Arabidopsis thaliana: one gene and its partners. The protein of the gene in region 2 interacts with the protein of the main gene of each other region in a pairwise test. Each region holds a gene or a part of one and is shown on either strand. Other genes may lie near its edges.

Region 1 (6,516 bases), 4.0 Mb from region 2:
AGACTACCACCCAGTCACCCACTTGATTTTAGACTTTTTAGTGTTTGTGGTTGCATCTTTTTTGGTAAATCTGGCTGTCTCGCCAATTTTGCTTTGCTCTAGTGATCCAATCAAAATAATTTCTGATTCTCTTTCTTTTAGAAATAATTTTTCCGAACATAAAAGTTTAAGAAATTTAACTTTAATAACGAAATTCATTATGTATAAAATAATTCTCGTGAAATTGTAAGAACTAAGAAGCATATCAAATGCTTATCTTTGATCAAAAAAAAATAAAAAATGCTTATCTTTTGTTGTATCAGATAGAAAGTGAAAATATTTAAAGAAGTGTACAAACAAGGACATAATCTTTTTTCTAGTGTGTCAAGTACTGACTCAAATTAAAGAACACAGCGAATTTCACGGCTTAGGGCTTCGGGTACTTATATAGTACTAATGATTATTTTCCAAGATCCTATATTTGCCAACTCACGTTTTAATGTATACCTAAATAATTTGTTTAAAAAAATAATTAATTCAGTTCTTTTGTTTGTTTAATTATCAATAATCATCTAGAGATTCAGACGTAACATATTCTATAATTATTTTATTTTTCAGAACCTTATCTCTTTGTTGAAGATACAAATATAAACGTACGACAAAATCGACCTATATCTACTACACAATAAACATATGAGAACCGAAATGAATGATGTTGTCATGTGTCGCTATCGCTCCATGTATCGCTTTCGCCTTCTCCATCGTCGCTTGCTACAGCCTGATATAACAAGTCCGAAATGTAAGTGCTTTAATGACCAAAATGGTACTTGCAAACTGAAACGTAAGATTATAAATGTGAATAATGTATGGAACCTGTCGGATAGAGTTTGCCTTCTCTAGAATCACGCTAATATTGGTGTTCATTGTAGTTTCTGATGATGATGTCTTTGTCCTGACCACACGTCTCAAGTTGAATTGCTGTTATGATTCAAAAGGTTGTTGTTGGTTAAGAAAAATGCATTTTATGACTTTGTGGAAACAGAAATGAGAATTGGAGGATCAAAAAATCATTTCTCCCATTTCATTCCTATACAAACGAAACTAAAAACATGTTCAAAATATATTTCCATTTCGATTAAGAGGGAACCGGGACAAAAATGAAATACGAAAACAAATGTATATATTTTTAGTTTTAAGGGTTTGAGTTTTTTTTTTTTTTAATTATCGATTATGTAAATATGTTCCTTAATAAAGGTTACTTTGAATTAATAGAATAGGGAATGCATTTTCATATACCACAGAAATTTTCTATATAGCTAAAATATAAAGCAAGAATAAAAGACTCACTTTAGTTCGAATTTGATGCAAGAAGTCTCCAGCTTCTGTCTCATTTGTGTTGCCATGACTTTGCTTATAATCCCTCACATTGTTCTTCAGATGTACCTATCAACCATCACATAAAATACCTTATACCAAAAAGATGAAAAAAAAAAAACAGTAAAAAGGAGAAGAAAACTTAATTCTCCATACCTTGGTTACAAGTTTAGGATCAGAAACAGTGACAATGTGTGGTTCTTTTTTCTTGACTGCAGTTAAAGAATTGTTGTTCTTCTCAAATGCCTGTGTGAGAGCATCCTTTAGAGACTGCTTGTTGTTATCCTCGAATCCAGCTGACGGTATTTTCGAAACCATCCACTGTAACGGTGGGAGAGGCGGTGGTAATGGCTCAGCTGGATTTTGGAGGTAAGAGACATTTTCAACTAAACAACCATTTGTTGTTTCAATCTTTGGAAATGGAACTGGTAGAGAAGAAGCTTCAGCATTGACTCTGTGAAACGAATCATAGAGCTCTTGTTGCCTCTTGCTTTCTCGGATACCTTCTGATTCTTCTTCCCACTGTTGCTCAGACATTGACACAGAGCGATTGTCATTGTCACTGTTGTCTGAAATGTAAGAAGAAGATCTACAGAAAGTGTCCTTGTCTGAATCAGAATCAGGAAGTGAAGTAGCAATAGTCTCTGGCACCAACTGAAACGAAGAAAATGTATATTCATCTGGAAGTTTTAGCTGTAGTTCAGAACTTGGCAAGGTTTCTGAGGATTTGAAAGATATTTTCATGTGATCAAGTGGAGGAGATGAAGTAAACCAATCAAAAGGAGCCTTATAATCTTCTCTTAAGTGCTCTTGGAAGGTTTCAGAATCAATGTCTTCAACAATCTCTGGAATAGTTTCTGCTATAATTTTCGGTTTCGATGGTTTCAGTCCTAGGAGATTTCCATTAGTCCATGTTTTAATGGATTCAGTGTCACAAGAACTCTCAACTTCTTCTGATTCTTGATGTTCTTGGATACCACTAATATCATACAAAGGATTTGAGAAGCCATTGGAATAACTATGAGTGCCACTACTTATTTCCGAAGCCGCCCATGGATCTTGATGAATCAGTTCATCAGATTTATATACCGGTGATGATGATAAATGTAGCTCTGATGTAGCAGCACATTTTGTCTCATCAACACTAAAGTTGTTAGAAATCTTCTCTGTTTCTTGCTCTGTAATATCATTGTAAAGATTCTTCTGCACCTCTTTAGTGGCTTGGAAAGCTTCATCATTTTCAGATTCTGAATCGATGGTGTAAAGTGCATCAACAAAATCATCCCCTTCGCTTTCAGTCTCATCCTCATTGTCCATTTCCAGTTCCTTCGGTTTGATATCTTGGACCGCTTCAACCGCTGAATGTTCTTTAAGTCTTGATACCGGTTCAGCATCCAAGACAAAGTTAGTTTCCATTACTTCAGGAGCTTCATCTGTTGCACACTGCAGAACATTGCATTCCACTATCTCAGCTTTCTCGTGCCAACTAACACTAGAAGAACCACGAGCTGTTAAATCTTGAGAAGGACTATCACTTTCACTTTCACTTTCAGAAAGAACTGAAGCAATGGTGCGAGAACCCGGTGTAAACCTTGAAGAAGAAGATACCCTCTTCGGTTTCTCTCCACCACTTCTTGAATCGAAAGAGAAAGAACGATGCTCTTGCAAGTCGGATTTCGACTCAATTTCAATCGTTGAAGCAGTTTTAGAGGTAGAGGTTCGTCCACTGAAGCTTAAAGAAGTACATGTCTTCCTGAACATCATATCATATATTCATGTTTTGAGTCATATATGAAAACATCTCTACAATGTCAAATCCAAATGTCATTACCTGTCACTCTGGTTAGCCACAGAGGCAAGTCTTGATATATCTCGACCGCGTTGTATAGATTTTTTCTTCTGCATCATCCATACAAGTTTAGGTAGCAAACAAGAAAAAGAAGAAACTCTACAAAACATGGTATTAACAGACTGAATCTCTAAAACAAACCTTAATCTCTGAAGGTTTAGAAGCTCTTGATGCTCTTTTGAAATGAGTAGGATCCGAGTATCGTTTCAAACAAGAACCTGGACCATTTATATCAAATCTGACAAAAACCGCTAAGAATCAGCATCATATTTATTATCATCAGTCTAAAACATAGCAGAAACAGTAATAACAAAAAAGAAAATGAGAGTTAAAAGGTGTATATACTTGTCAAGCAAGTGTAACCGCGGAGGTTCCCGGCAATCTTCATATGGAGTCATAATAAACGGTGGCAATTCGTCATACATAAAGTGATTTTGCACATTTGGTATACGAGGATGCCACTCCAGACCTAAAACAGCATGTAAACACTATGTTCATTAACTATACTTAAATTTTCTAAAGAACTCAAATAGTGAAAGATCATGACTTATTTAATTAAGATCCATAAGAAAGACTACTAGTATCATTCATCATCAAATTCTAAACTCAAAAAAGAGTATTTTAAGCTAAGAAGTTAGTGCAAAAGGCATGTGAGCTAGGGCCTACAATAAACTCAACAGGATATAAATTTTTGATTAAAGAACAAACATGTGAATCTAGACATTAAAGAAGATTGACAAGAGAAACAAGACAAAAGAAACCTCCAGTGTATGCAAAATGAATGTGATTTGTTTGTGCAAGCACTGTCTTTTGGATTGTAGGAACTTTAGCTTCTATTTGCTTCAATCTCATCTTCAATTTGTTGCTTCTTGATGCTGTTATCATTACCTCCTCTTGTATTCCATGGAATATCTCTGCTGCGAATCTGAAACAATGTGAGTTTAACATAAAAACTCAGGACAAGTAAGATTGGCTGAGAACCATAAAATAAGCAAATGAAGAAGACCAAACACAGCAAAATTAAAGATTTTACAGAGAATCAAAGAAGATCACTGACTCCATATTGTCACATTTTTACTTAAGATTTTTTTTTTTTTAAAAACATTTATAAGTCAATTATAAAAAAAAAGAAACAGAGGAAACAGAGTTGACTTAAAGTACTACTTACTCTGTGAGATCACCGAGTTGACGCAAGATCCCGACGAGTCCAGAAACGGCGACGTCGTCGAGAATCGCTTTAGGGTCTTCACGGTCGACTTTTGTGTGAAGCTCTTTTTGCCCTAAACCGTAGACATTCCTAACTTGGAGCCTAACAAGCGGCATTTGCTCTGTTCTTGAGAAAGATTCCGGAGGAATGATCAGATGGGTTTTGAAGATAAGAAACAAAGATTGAGTTTTTGTGGGTTATGTTGCTTGAGGTGGGTGAGAGATTATGGCAGCTTAACCGCCGAAACGAGAGAGAGAGGGAAAATTTGGAGATTACAAAAAGGTTTTTCGTTGTAAAAAGAGAAAAGAGAGACTCGGAGACATTGCTAACACCGCAAGCCATTCCCTTTTTCAATGTCATCATTTTAACTAAAAGTGCTAAGAGAAAATTACGAAAAAGGGCTTGGAGCAAAAAGAAAGGTACCCATAACCTACCCATATGGAGCGAATCATGATCCAAATTAGTCATTTGTTACTTACATAATTTCCCGAAAATAAACTTTAGTTTTTATAAGAATTTGTTAGTGCTAAACATAAATTATTTAAAAAGAACTATAAACATTTTTAGTCATGTGTATAACCCCTACTTGTAATACTATATTTGTATGCTTAAGTCATCTAATGAGAACTTACTCTGCTTAATCTTCTACTACTAGCTACTAAAACAAAAAACTTCTACTACTTGTAATATTATATCATATACATTTTGCACAAATATGGAGTATAAAACTAGAAGTTAAAGTTTGGATCATTGAATGAGCATTTGAAGACTTCTATTATAAAATAGAAATGCGTTACAGTTTAGATAGCGTTAAAGTTTGAATCATTGAATGAGAATTTGGTCGTTTGCGAGGAAATAGACTTGTTGAGTTGGCTACATATTTATTGGAGAACAAAACTCCCATAAATGAGGCATCAATACATACGTAACACTTGTACTCAAACTCTATAGCTGTGATTTGTTTTTGTTTTTGACACCAACTATATATGAATGATGATGGTACAATTCAAAGATTTTCATAATGAATCTAGTAAAGCGGAAGTGTATGTATTGCCGTAATGGTGTGCCTCTCGCATCCTTGATCTATACAATCAAGTTTGATGTTACAAGAGTTGCATAATATCTTCCATCTACACACGCTGCGTAGTGTGTGCGCGTGTGGGTGAATGTATTCATACATCTATATCTTACACTACTTGAGGACTTGCACACATGCATGTGGATGTGTGACTTACTCCATCCTCGTTTAGGCATATATACACAATAATAAATCATGCACAAGCATTTTAGATCTGTGCTTCTAGAGTTTTGGATCTGGCTCCCATTAACCAAAGCAATTTATCAACTCGAATTCTTTTGTCGTTTTTCTTGATACTAACATATAAATACATTTTATTTATAAACTACAGTTCAGACATATGGATCGAAGATCCACAGTACTACTCCAGTACTCCATACAAGCTAATACACAGTATTAGAAGTAATCAATTCTTATGGTCCTTGGTAGGTATAGTATTATTAAATAAGTGATGCGATTAGATCAATGCATGACTTTTAGCTGGTCGTCTATTTATGGATGCTACCTAAACATAAATTTAATCACATGTCATTTATTATTTATTATTACTCCTAAATTGTTCTGTCCATTAAATATTTTATAAGTTGTTACTTGCTACTCCTATCAACCATTAATGGTAATCTTTGACGCAGATTCTATGAGCTATACTATTGCATTGTTTTCCATCATATATTATCAATCACAAGTAACTCTTCACAAAAAATGGCGGTCAATAAAGTGACACTTACAAAACTCAATGGTTTAAATAAAAACTACAACATTGCTGAAAAATATACATAAATTTTAAACACGAAATTGGTTAACAAAACAAAATTGGCGGTCATCTCATGTTTTTTTTTATATCATAGTAAATCTCGAAATGTGCTTTGATTAAAGATCAGACCATCGAATGGTGCACTAGCATTCTCATATAATTTGACATATAAAATAGTATAAGTAACAATATACTAATATAGTAGTAGTATATTAATCATTTGCATAAATATAAAACAAGAATTGGTCCAATGACCCATCGATGGCATCAATGCC
Region 2 (4,038 bases):
GAAATGAAGAAGATCTTTGGACCAACGGCGTTCATGGAAAATCGATTAGGCTCGGAAGGATAAGGGAACTCAATGGATTCGAAGAGATTCTCGGTCGTACTGTTCTCGATTCTCCGGAGAGTGTACCAGTAGTCGTATACGGGGCGATAATTTTCGTCGATGAAGCCGATATAGAGATAATCTTTTCCGAGTAAAGATCGAGCCTTGTGAATTTCAGGCGAGCGAACAAGACTCCGCATGTTCTTGGAGACGGAGCAGAGGATTGGGTAATATCGTTTTGGGACGCGGGCTAAGATCATCGAAATGATTTCCAGTGGCAGTGACAAAAACAATGACGGCGATGCCGATGCCGATGCCGATGACGACGATGGTTGGTCGGTTTTTCGCGGTGGTTCGTTGGAGCTAGACATCGACTCTAGTTTAAAGGAGAAGACTAGAGAATTGAGATTTTATTGATTTATTCTATTTCGGTTTCGGTTATTAGCCAAAAAACAAAACCCGGTTTATTTATTCTTCGATTCTGTTTCAATCGGTTTATTTTGTTTCTTTTTGCGCTAAAACGGTTCTTTGTTGTTGTCTCTTGAACTCAAAGAAGACAAACATTGTTCTTTTACATAGACTGATAGACGAGAATTCGCTTATAATTCTGTTACAAGAATCTCTACTACAAGATCAAACTTTTATAACGAAGATAGCTAATCATACTAAAATCTGCAAGAGTCCTTCATAGAAGAAACACACTAAAAAAGATGTAAAACAAACCAAAGCCAGAGACTTGAGTACACTAGTCAAAGAACATGGCATAAACCGATCTTTCTCTTTCGCTTCTTAGTCTTTGAAGGAGGATGTAAAACTACTTTGATCGCTTCATCAAACACGGCTTTTACGTTCTGCAAATTTAGCATCATCATAAGTCTTTCTTTATCAGATTGAGGTCCAAAATATTTGGTCTAATTGTAAAATGTAACTCAAGCATTAATGGTTACTTTACCATTTGTGCTTTTGAGCTGCACTCTATGTATGCTAATGCTCCTATTTCCTTTCTTAGTTCTTGACCCTATAAAAGAAGCAATCTTTGAGTTATAAAAGAGTTTGATTCTTAACATGGTTCTTGATCATATACATTGAAGAAGAATCTTTAAAAAAACATACCTGTTCTGGGAAGATTGTGCAAGCACCTGGATAATTCTTTGGGAACTGCATGTTGTCTCTTAGATCTGCAATATCAAGAAATTCATCTTATATACTACATAACATCACTTACACATTGATGTTAGATTCCTAACATTCAAGACATAACAGAGTGGTTCATTATCTTCAACCTGATTTGGTTCCCACAAGAACAATAGGCACAGTCGGGGCATAATGTCTCAGCTCGGGTACCCACTGCGAAAGAAAACCGATCCATATGCACATGAGATCAGTGTTGTAAAGTTAAATTACAGTGAAATTAAAAGTAAAAGGAAAGATAATCTCAAGTCTCAACCTTTTTAGCAATGTTCTCAAAGCTAGGCCTGCTAATAAGTGAGAAGGCAAGAATGAAAACATCTGCTCCTCTGTAACTCAATGGTCTAACCCTATTGTAGTCTTCTTGACCTGTAATATAATGTGAATCACCCAAAAGATATATAACACAAGAATCATAATTGGTCTCATTTAAGTTTTGAAGAAACATGAGCAAAATCTGATAGTGAATTCAAGAACCAAAACAATGTTGCATCAAAGATTCAAATTTTTCAACTGACTTCTTTTAAAAGGACCAAAAGATTAGACCTTGACATATTGTTGTAGATATAAAGCTAAAGACAAGAACAACTTTGACATTAGGTAAAAGCATTTACCAGCAGTATCCCAGAGACCCAGATTGACAGTTTTACCATCGACTAAAACATTAGCATTGAAATTGTCGAACACTGTTGGAACATAATCCTGTAATAACAAGATCTCAACAGTCACCAAAAGCTATCAAGAAAAGCAATCCAAAAGAGAGAGAGGGAGAGATGGATTTATATACAGTGGGGAACGTGTTGCTGGTGTAGGAAATAAGAAGACAAGTTTTGCCCACAGCTCCATCGCCAACAGTGACACACTTTATAAACGTTGTAGCTGTTGCTGATGATGTTGATGTTGCAGCCATTGAAGCTGACATTGATTGAGAAAATTCTCTGATTTTACTTACCCTGTTCTCTCTCTTTCTGTGGTTTTATTCTGGTTCAAGTGAAGAATGAGAATGAGACTTGAGTGGTAAAAAAGGAGTCAACTTTAATTTGAGCTGTCAGAGAGCCAAAACGCCTTAAAAATAATTTTTTATTCGGTGGGTTTGATTTCTTTCCTATTTTTTGAATTTAGATAGATTTTGCCATATTTTACTTCTTTCCAAAAAAACTCTAATTGGTAACACATAGCTGTACATAACTTTTATCTGTTAACTTTTTTTGAAATAGTATAAAATTACTAAAAAACAGTTATATTAAAAAAAATGTATAAAAAAGCTGAGAGAAAAATCTTTTAGTAACGCTTTTGATAAAAAAAATTATAATTGGTAGAAATGAAAGTTGTACAAATTATAGTGCTTTGTTTTTTTCACCAATCAATGCAAATGCAAAGGTCCAAATGTTTCAGCAAAATGAAAATAAGTGGTGGTTATATCAAATCAAATTTTGTAAATTCAGTTACATTTACATGACTAATTTTACAAGATGTGTAATTTTAATTATCTCTAGATCATTTGTTTTTTTTTTCGATTTAAGTTTGGACAATGGATCGACCACCAAACACATCATCATTAACAAAGATGGAAAGGCAAGTCCATTATTACTACCGTGTTGATACAAAAAAAAATGAATTTTATGATTTCTTTCTTCCTAAGATATAATTTGGAATCATAGTTTAAGTACAAAAAAATGTTTCCTTCTACGTGAATCTTTGTATTACAACTGTCAGTGTCATAAGGCCCATCCGAAAAGCCCATTTCTAAATACTAGAATTTTAAAAAATTAAACAATGATTAAAAAAAAAAAAAAAAACAAAGAGAAGAAAACAAAACAGTAGAGAATGAGAAAAAACCACAGGGAAAAGCAGAGCACTCTTTATCTCTTCTTCTCTCTTTCTTCTACTCTGTGATCAAACTATCGAAGAAAAAACAAACCCTAGATTTATCCGCCCCTCTTCTTCCTCTGATGATAAGAAAGTCGAAGACTTTGAGAATCTAAAGCTGAAAAATTTTGTTTTTTTTCATTGAGGGAATCGAATCGAGTTATGTACAAGGATCGGAGTGGAGGAGGAATAATGGGTGGTGGTGGATCATCGAGATCGGAGATCCTTGGTGGAGCTATTGATCGGAAACGAATCAATGATGCTTTAGACAAACATCTTAAGAAATCTTCACCTTCTACATCTAGGGTTTTCACTTCTAAGGACAAAGATTCTGTCCCTTCTACTTCAACTGCTAAATCTCAGCTTCATTCTCGTTCCCCCGATGGTTAATTGCTTATATCTCACTCAATTTCAATTTCATGTGGTTTTAGTACTTTCTGATTTGGGTATTAATAAATTTTGATTCTTTGTGGATGCAGTTGAATCTGACACGGATAGTGAAGGATCAGATGTGAGTGGTTCAGAAGGTGATGATACCTCTTGGATCTCATGGTTTTGTAATTTGAGAGGGAATGAGTTTTTCTGTGAAGTAGATGAAGATTATATACAAGATGATTTCAATCTCTGTGGTTTGAGTGGTCAAGTTCCTTACTATGATTATGCACTTGATCTCATTTTAGATGTTGAATCATCAAATGGTAAGTGAAGGGTCCATTTGATGAATTTAGGCTTTACTTTGTCTGAGAATTGTTGTATAATTTGGAGGAATGTTTATTGGATTAGGTGATATGTTTACTGAAGAACAGCATGAGATGGTGGAATCAGCTGCTGAGATGTTATATGGTCTTATTCATGTTCGTTATATTCTCACTACTAAAGGAATGGCTGCTATGGTAAGCAAGATACTTCTTCTACATCTTTGTTTCTGATTGATCTTTTGAA
Region 3 (7,352 bases), on a different chromosome or scaffold from region 2:
GGTTGAATTAATATTTATGCTATGGAAGAAATCAAGAATGCAATTAAAGATGATATAACATCAAGAATCCAAATACTTTTTTTTTTCATGAGAAGAATCGATTACACTGACTTGTGTTTGGATTTGATGCAACAAGTCTCCAGTTTTGGTCTCCTTTTCATTGGCATTTTGTTTATCCTCCCTGACAATATTCTTAAGATGGGTCTATGAGAACATATGCTTCTCATTCGTAACTTGAAATATATCGAATAACCGTAAACGTGAATCATTACTTTGTTTTGTCGTTCAATGTTGCTATTGCCGACTTGCTTTGATGGTAATATCAAGTCAAATGTTGATCTTGTTTATAAAATTTAGTGGTACTACAAAAAAAAAAAACTATGACCATGGATTCTTCTTAGTTGCTCTAGGATAAAAGTCCATGACTAATTTAAGTTTAGCTCTTTATGGTCATGAATTTTTTTTGTAGCAAGCTCGTGGCTAAAATCCCAAGTTCTAGAAAGTTTTCCTTAAGATGAATGGGCATTATAGATTTTACTTTCATTTTTATTTCTTGCACTACTTTATTTTCTTGAAGATACAGATCACACTCGACAAAATTTACTATCACCTACACAAATCCACACATTAGATATGATACAAAATACAAAAAATTCTTGCAGGACTAGCTTGAACCCCTTTTCTCCATTTATGTCGTTCAGAGAGTAGATTACAAAGATGAAATGGAATCTGATAAAGGGCTTTTACGTATCACTCCATGTATCGCTTTCATCTCCATCTTTGCTAGCTACAGCCTGAAAAGAAGAAAAGAGTGAGTGATAGATAATGTTGTGTTGGATTTAAGACAAAAAGTACTTAGATTCTGAAATAAAGATTAGATTTGCTTTGGATATATATAGATGCAGAAGTTAGAGGATGAACCTGGCGTATTGAGTTTGCTTTCTCCAAAATCGCGCTGATCTTAGTGTTTATGATAGGGTCAGTTGTTGCAGTAGCCGATGATGTCGTTGTCATGACCACAGGCCTAAGGTTGAATTGCTTTGATTTGAAAGAAACCAAGAATGTAGCAAAAGATGATATAACAAATCAAGCATCAGAATATAACTTTCTTTCACAAAAAGGAACTATTTGCACTCACTTGTGTTCGGATTTGTTGCAAGAAGTCTCCAGTTTCAGTCTCCTTTGCGTTGGCACTTTGTTTCTCCTCCCTGACATTATTCTTCAGATGGGCCTATGAGAACATATGCTTGTTAAGATTCGTAATTTGAACTATATTGAAAACGATCATCTGGAATATATGGAACTGACCCACACTGTAGAAAAGTAGGAAGAAAGAGTCAAAATCTTCTCCATACCTTAATTTCTGGTTTAGGAGCAGAAGTCACCATGCTAGGCAGTTCGTTCTTAGCTGTAGGCAATGAAATATGCTTCTCAAACGCAAACCTGAGAGCTTCTTGTAGTTGTAGGGACTGTGTTTTGTCTTCCATTTTCTCTGAAGGTGTCTTTGAAACCATCCATTGCATGGGTGGAAATGGCGGTGGTAAGGGCTCAGCAGGATTTTGGAGATATGAGAGGTTTACGGCGACGCAAGAACTTTCTGATTTGATCCCTAGAGGGGAAGCTTCAGCATTGTTATCAACATGCCTACTTTCGTGGAAAGAATCATATAGTTCTTGCTCTTTTCTTCCATGGCTGTCACTGGATTCTTCCCACGGCTCAGAATTTGACAAGGAGTGATTATCGCTAAGATAATCGGTATCTGACATGTAAGGAGATGATCTACAAAAAGTGTCGTCGTCAGAATAAGAATCAGGAAGGGAAGTTCCAGTCTCTGGAAGCAACTGGAAGGAGGAAAAGGTATTGTAAGTGTTGTCTCCATCTGAAAATTTAAGCTTCAGTCTCGAAGCCTGAAGAGTGTCAGCGGGATTGAGAGATATTTTCATGTGTTGAAGAGGCGGAGACGAAGTGATCCAATCAATAGGAGCTTCGTCTCTGAAGGGGTCCATAAAGGTTTTCTCATTAATATCTTGGTCACAAAACCTCCTCCTCTCTGTAGTCACTTCATCGTTCTCTGGAATCGTTGCTGGTACAGTCTTTCTATCATGTGCAAATGAATCCTTTCTGCGGAAACCACTAGTAAGAAACTTGTGGCTGAGTCCAAAAACTCCAGAAGAAGTCTCATGGGACTCTCTTTGGTCTACAATACCCATGACTATGCCATTTGAACTACCTGGATTTTGGGTTCCTGGCGTTGCTAAGCTTGAATTATTCAGAACATGTCTATGTGAAGCATTTTCAACTAGATCATCTGCTTTATCTTTTTCAGCTTCTGCAAAACCAACTGTCCTTTCCTCGGTCTTGCAATCTGGACTTAAAGAACTTGGCATTGCCAAGACTGGAGGTTTCGATGGTTTCAGTCCCAATAGACCACCATTAGTCCATATTTTAAAGGCTTCGAGATCCCCAGAAGATTCAGCTTCTGTTTCTTGATTTTCCTGTAGGCCATGATGAATCAAGGGGTTTGATGAATCAACTAAGCTGTTCTCGAGACCTGGCACAAATGTAAATGTGATGGTATCTTTTCCACCAGAATCATTACGCATATCCTTGTTTGCACAAAGATCATTTTTTTGTAAGCGGTTGATATCTGAACCCGCCTGTAGATTTTGTTGATGCATTTCAACAGATACATTTTCTGACGATGCATTCTCTTCATTTTTAAAACTGTTGGCCATAAGCCCATCCATTGATCTGCAAGAATCTTCGACACTGTAGGAATTCTGCTCTGTTTCTTGCTCACACACTGACTTTTCCAACCTCTCATCTGCAACACCACAGGAACTGCTCACTTGACTAGTTTGAAGCCCTTGATTGTTTTCAGATTCTGATTCGATAGTATTAAGCGCATCAACAAAACACTCCCCTTCGCTTTCAGTCTCTTGTTCACTATCCCTCGGTTCTCCCACAATCTCCCGACCATTTTTTATCTCTCTTACCTCATCAATCCCAGCACGTTTTCGTAGTCCTGATTCTGATTTATCATTTTCATTGTCCTTAGAATGGAAATCAACTCCACCTATCCCTTCCCCATAGCTTGGTTTCTCATCTAGAGTATCTACAACAGAGTTCGCCTCCACCATTTCAGAAGCTTCATCTGTCTGCAGACCAAGAGATTCCACTATCTCTGCTTTCTCATCCCAACTAACGCAAGAAGAGCCACGAGCAGCTTGCCCTTGAGAAGGACTAAACTGGAAATTATCATGAGCATCTTCGGTTTCACATTCAGAAAGGACTGAAGCAATAGTGCAAGAGCCTGGTGTCAAGCTGGATGAAACGAACACCCCTTTCGGTCTTTCTCCAGTCTTCAGTGAAGAAGTTGCAGTTGAAAGGCATTCATTGTAGCCTGAACCACTTCTGGACTCAAAAGAGCGAGAATGATGATCTTGAAAATCATATCTTTTTTCCATGTCACTGGTTGAGGTGGTTTTGGTAGAAGAGGTTTGTCCACTGAAGCTAAATGAAGCAAATGTCTTCCTGGAGTGAACTATGTCTGAGTTAATTATTCTTTAGGTGCACGGAAACTTAAATATGCCAACAATATCTATAATTTACCTGGCATTCTGGTTAGCCAAGGAGGCCAAACGTGACATATCTCGACTCCTTGACGAAGTTTTTTTCTTCTGTCCATGCCAGAAAACAGATATATATGTGTCAAGTAAAAGAGAATTCTACAGAAAATGGTTTACCAATTTAATCTGAGAACCACACCTTCATTTTACAATGCTTTTTATCTTTTTGGAACTTCTTGTTTCCTTGACTCAGGTTGCTTGATGCTCTTCTGAAATAAGTAGGATCTGAGTATCGCTTCAAGCAAGATCCAGGACCATTTATATCAAATCTGAGAAAATAAAGCAAAGAATCAGTATAACATGATGGATTATAGTACATAGTACATACATATCAGATATAAATATTTTAGCTTGAGGCATACTTATCAAGCAAGTGTAACCGTGGAGGACCCCTGCATTCTTCATAGGGATCCATAATAATGTGAGGCAAGTCGTCATAAATTAAGTGATTTTGCGTAATTGGGATACGAGGATGCCACTCCAGACCTGAACCCCATTAAACTCCTTCAGTTCACAAGATATAAAGTAAGAAAAATACAAGCATGACCACTTTCTCACCACCCATTACTTCCACGGTTTCAATACAATAAATAAAAGTTTGCCAAGGGGAACCAAACAACTAATACTATCAATTCAATTTTAAGTTAATCTATTTTAAGGTTTTGCAGAAGATACAATGATTTAGTTTCTCAATCATTCCAGATTCTAAACTAGCCTCGTCAGAGAAAGTTTTAGTTTTAGGGTAAGTGAAAAAGCATGTGAAGGCCTACAATGAACTAAGGATGTGACATAATTTATTAAAAGAATTAATGTGAAACCTAACAAGAATCAGACACCTTGGGTCAAGACAATAAGAAGATTGACAAGAGGGAAGAAGACAAAACAAACCTCCTGTGTATGCAAAATGTATATGAGTTGTTTGTGCAAGCATCGCCTTTTCTAGTGGAGGCACTGTAGCTTCTATATGCTGCAATCTAATCTTTAACTGATTGCTTCTTGAAGCTGTAGCCATAACTTCCTCCTGTATCCCATGAAATATCTCTGCTGCAAACCTTAATCAAGAGAAAAAGCAATCGATAAGAAAGTTTCTTCCTTTGTGCTAAAATGACCCTTATCAACCAGAGATCACTCCAAACCCAAACTAAGCTTGATATCAGAGCCGACATAAAGAGTCACCACATAAGGAGTTGCTAAGAAACATAAACTAAGCTCATGAAACAAAACTAAACACAGCAAAAATGGAGAATGATTGATAGAAACATCACAACAATCATAGAATCATAAATGAATAAAGCTTCTTCCTTTTTGCTAAAGCTTAACTCAAAAACTTCAAAGGATCATGCAATCAAAATGGGTTCCCAAATTTGTAGCTACAAACACCAATTAGATTACCTTAAACAAGTAAAGGCAATTACTTTCACACAAAGTAATGATTCTCATCTTTAACTTCACCACTAGCTCAAAGAATCATTCAACAGTAGAGATACCCAAAAGAGACGCAACATTAGCTCGAATTGAATACTTACTCAGCGAGATCACCAAGCTGACGCAAGACCCCAACAAGTCCAGTAACTGCAACACCATTGAGAATTGCTTTAGGGTCTTCACGATCGACATTTCTATACACCTCGCTTTGGTTCATACCGTATACATTCCGTGGCATTTTTTCTCTTAAAAGGTACAAAACTGTCACACATTGAGATACAAAAAGTTTTGTGGCTAAAGCATTAAGAGAGCTGGGAAAAGGATTAGGAGAAAGAATCAAAAGGTTTTTTTTTGAAGAAATTGAGAAAATGGGTTTTGATGAAAACGAGAAAAAGGTTAATGATTGTTGATGGGTTTCTGGTGAGTGAGATTGATGAGGCAGCTTAACTGCTCAAAAACAGAGAGGGAAATTTTGGAGGCAGAGAGGGAAAGAGACTGTGAGAGAGAGAGACATTGACATTGCCAATATCGCAAGCCATTCCTTTCCAATTTCATTTACCAGTGGGGGGTTTACAGAAAAGTAGAAAGACCAAATTACCCTTGTATTTTGTGTGTTATTACGTGATGGGGTTTTGAGAAAAGAAGGATTTTATTTTTATTTTTGGTTCAAAGAAAGGTTATTGGTTCGCACGATATGAACATTAAATTCTAATTTTGATTACAGAATAAATGTTCGATTTTGTAATTTAAAAATGAAGTGGTTTTCGGAAAAAAAGTGAGAGAATGTCAATGTCAAATAAATGTTTCGTCAAGTTTTGTAGTTATTTGAGTAAGGATTTGTTTGTTTGTCAATAAATAAAATTGTTGGGTTGGTTACATGTTGAAACAAAGTCCAACGAGTGAGATGGACATATTACAAATAGTACGTTCTAGTATGATACAATAAATGTAGACAATTTTTAATTGTAATCGTGGAATTCCACATTTATAATTCTTGGAACTAGGTAAATTAGTTAAGCATATCCGATGCAAAGTGGTTTCTCCAATGCATTCAAGACTCCTAGTTTTCTATACAAGAGTTAAAATCACTTGCTCTTTATGTTTACATCCACCAGAATGTTTATGATTGGGAGAACAACCCCAACAATTGAAGAAGAAGAAGAGGCAGGGATATTATGTCTCAAGAATCTCACTACAAAAAAGGTTAGTTGTATCAATTAACTTGCAACAAAAATTTAAAAAATACTAATTTGAATTACTTATTTACAATCGATACAAAAATTATAATTTAACATCAATTGCAATAACTGATGTCGTATTAGTTTGTGTGACATCAGTTCATTAAAATTAATGCAAATCTAGGTCTATTTGCCTCACTTTCACAATATTAATACAAATATGTGAATTTTAATCATTTAGAAAGTGATACAAAATTTAAATCAATAATAACCGATGCTAATTACAGATTTAGCATCAGTTGCACTAACTGATATAATTGTTTATTCAATTTGTTTACATACCACATATCTCCCACAGAAGGAAAAAAAAACCTCCATAATTTTTTTATATATGTAAAGTTACATAATTCTGGTTTTAGATGGTGTCCAAAAAGTGTAAAGTTACTATCCCAACTAAATTTAAGTGTTCGCTTAATATTAATTAATAAAGATATTTGTTTCATAAAAACTAATTTAGTATTATTTTATAAGTTATTATAATTAATATAAACACTTAAAATTATTTATTATAAATGTTGCAAATATTAACGTTATTTTGATAAATTGATACAAATAATAAATCACTTATATTCAATGATGCAAAATTAATATCATTTTTTTGCAACTGATGCATATTAACATCGATTAAAATAATCACTACAAACAAACATGTTATACGGTAATGTTTCGACAGTTTAAGAGTTACTATATATGGAGGAGTGAACAAGGCAAACAACCACCAAAAACCAAAAAAAAAAGAGATAGCTACTAATATAGATCTTGGAGCATGCCAAATTTTACAAGAAAAAGACCCAGAAGATTATACTTTGGGGAGAGACCAATTTGGGTTAAAAACAAGAGGAAATCAAGAAGCAGTAATGTCATTAAGCATATAGAACACGGAAAATCATCTTCCAAGTGGTTTTGTTCAAGTTGACAAGAGAAGAGAGACATTTTTTTTTGTATCCTACAATTCGAACTTGCATGGAAGAAGAGACATCAAAGGATTTCAAAAGAACCCAAAACCTCATAATAAGACTCAATTGTATCTAAAACACCAACTTTGATATTGAAGAAAATC

What was found. Proteins that work in one complex are often made in the same cells at the same time.
Region 1: the proteins of ARAC9 (region 2) and AT2G34150 interact in a two-hybrid assay, tested with the Arabidopsis thaliana proteins (one study listed by BioGRID).
Region 3: the proteins of ARAC9 (region 2) and WAVE2 interact in a two-hybrid assay, tested with the Arabidopsis thaliana proteins (one study listed by BioGRID).

The regions. Positions count from the first base shown.
Region 1 is NC_003071.7:14,418,735-14,425,250, forward strand, and holds AT2G34150 (SCAR family protein), read right to left. Parts: upstream 4,738-6,516; 5' UTR 4,526-4,737; coding exon 4,371-4,525; intron 4,128-4,370; coding exon 3,964-4,127; intron 3,958-3,963; exon of another isoform or gene 3,672-3,957; coding exon 3,548-3,671; intron 3,441-3,547; coding exon 3,344-3,440; exon of another isoform or gene 3,313-3,343; coding exon of another isoform or gene 3,253-3,312; coding exon 3,185-3,252; intron 3,107-3,184; coding exon 1,510-3,106; intron 1,423-1,509; coding exon 1,327-1,422; intron 958-1,326; coding exon 853-957; intron 758-852; coding exon 698-757; 3' UTR 529-697; downstream 1-528. UniProt on the Arabidopsis thaliana protein: Involved in regulation of actin and microtubule organization. Part of a WAVE complex that activates the Arp2/3 complex. Regulates trichome branch positioning and expansion.
Region 2 is NC_003071.7:18,427,387-18,431,424, reverse strand, and holds ARAC9 (RAC-like 9), read right to left. Parts: upstream 2,305-4,038; 5' UTR 2,150-2,304; coding exon 2,015-2,149; intron 1,930-2,014; coding exon 1,842-1,929; intron 1,597-1,841; coding exon 1,487-1,596; intron 1,387-1,486; coding exon 1,323-1,386; intron 1,218-1,322; coding exon 1,153-1,217; intron 1,058-1,152; coding exon 992-1,057; intron 891-991; coding exon 789-890; 3' UTR 543-788; downstream 1-542. Other genes in the region: AT2G44700 (Galactose oxidase/kelch repeat superfamily protein), read right to left, coding at 1-410; CKB4 (casein kinase II beta subunit 4), read left to right, coding at 3,259-3,481, 3,576-3,794, 3,880-3,989. UniProt on the Arabidopsis thaliana protein: Inactive GDP-bound Rho GTPases reside in the cytosol, are found in a complex with Rho GDP-dissociation inhibitors (Rho GDIs), and are released from the GDI protein in order to translocate to membranes upon activation.
Region 3 is NC_003070.9:10,189,609-10,196,960, forward strand, and holds WAVE2 (SCAR family protein), read right to left. Parts: upstream 5,606-7,352; 5' UTR 5,293-5,605; coding exon 5,156-5,292; intron 4,682-5,155; coding exon 4,518-4,681; intron 4,116-4,517; coding exon 3,992-4,115; intron 3,899-3,991; coding exon 3,769-3,898; intron 3,681-3,768; coding exon 3,613-3,680; intron 3,535-3,612; coding exon 1,356-3,534; intron 1,232-1,355; coding exon 1,139-1,231; coding exon of another isoform or gene 1,112-1,138; exon of another isoform or gene 1,039-1,111; coding exon 922-1,038; intron 795-921; coding exon 744-794; 3' UTR 529-743; downstream 1-528. UniProt on the Arabidopsis thaliana protein: Involved in regulation of actin and microtubule organization. Part of a WAVE complex that activates the Arp2/3 complex. Regulates trichome branch positioning and expansion.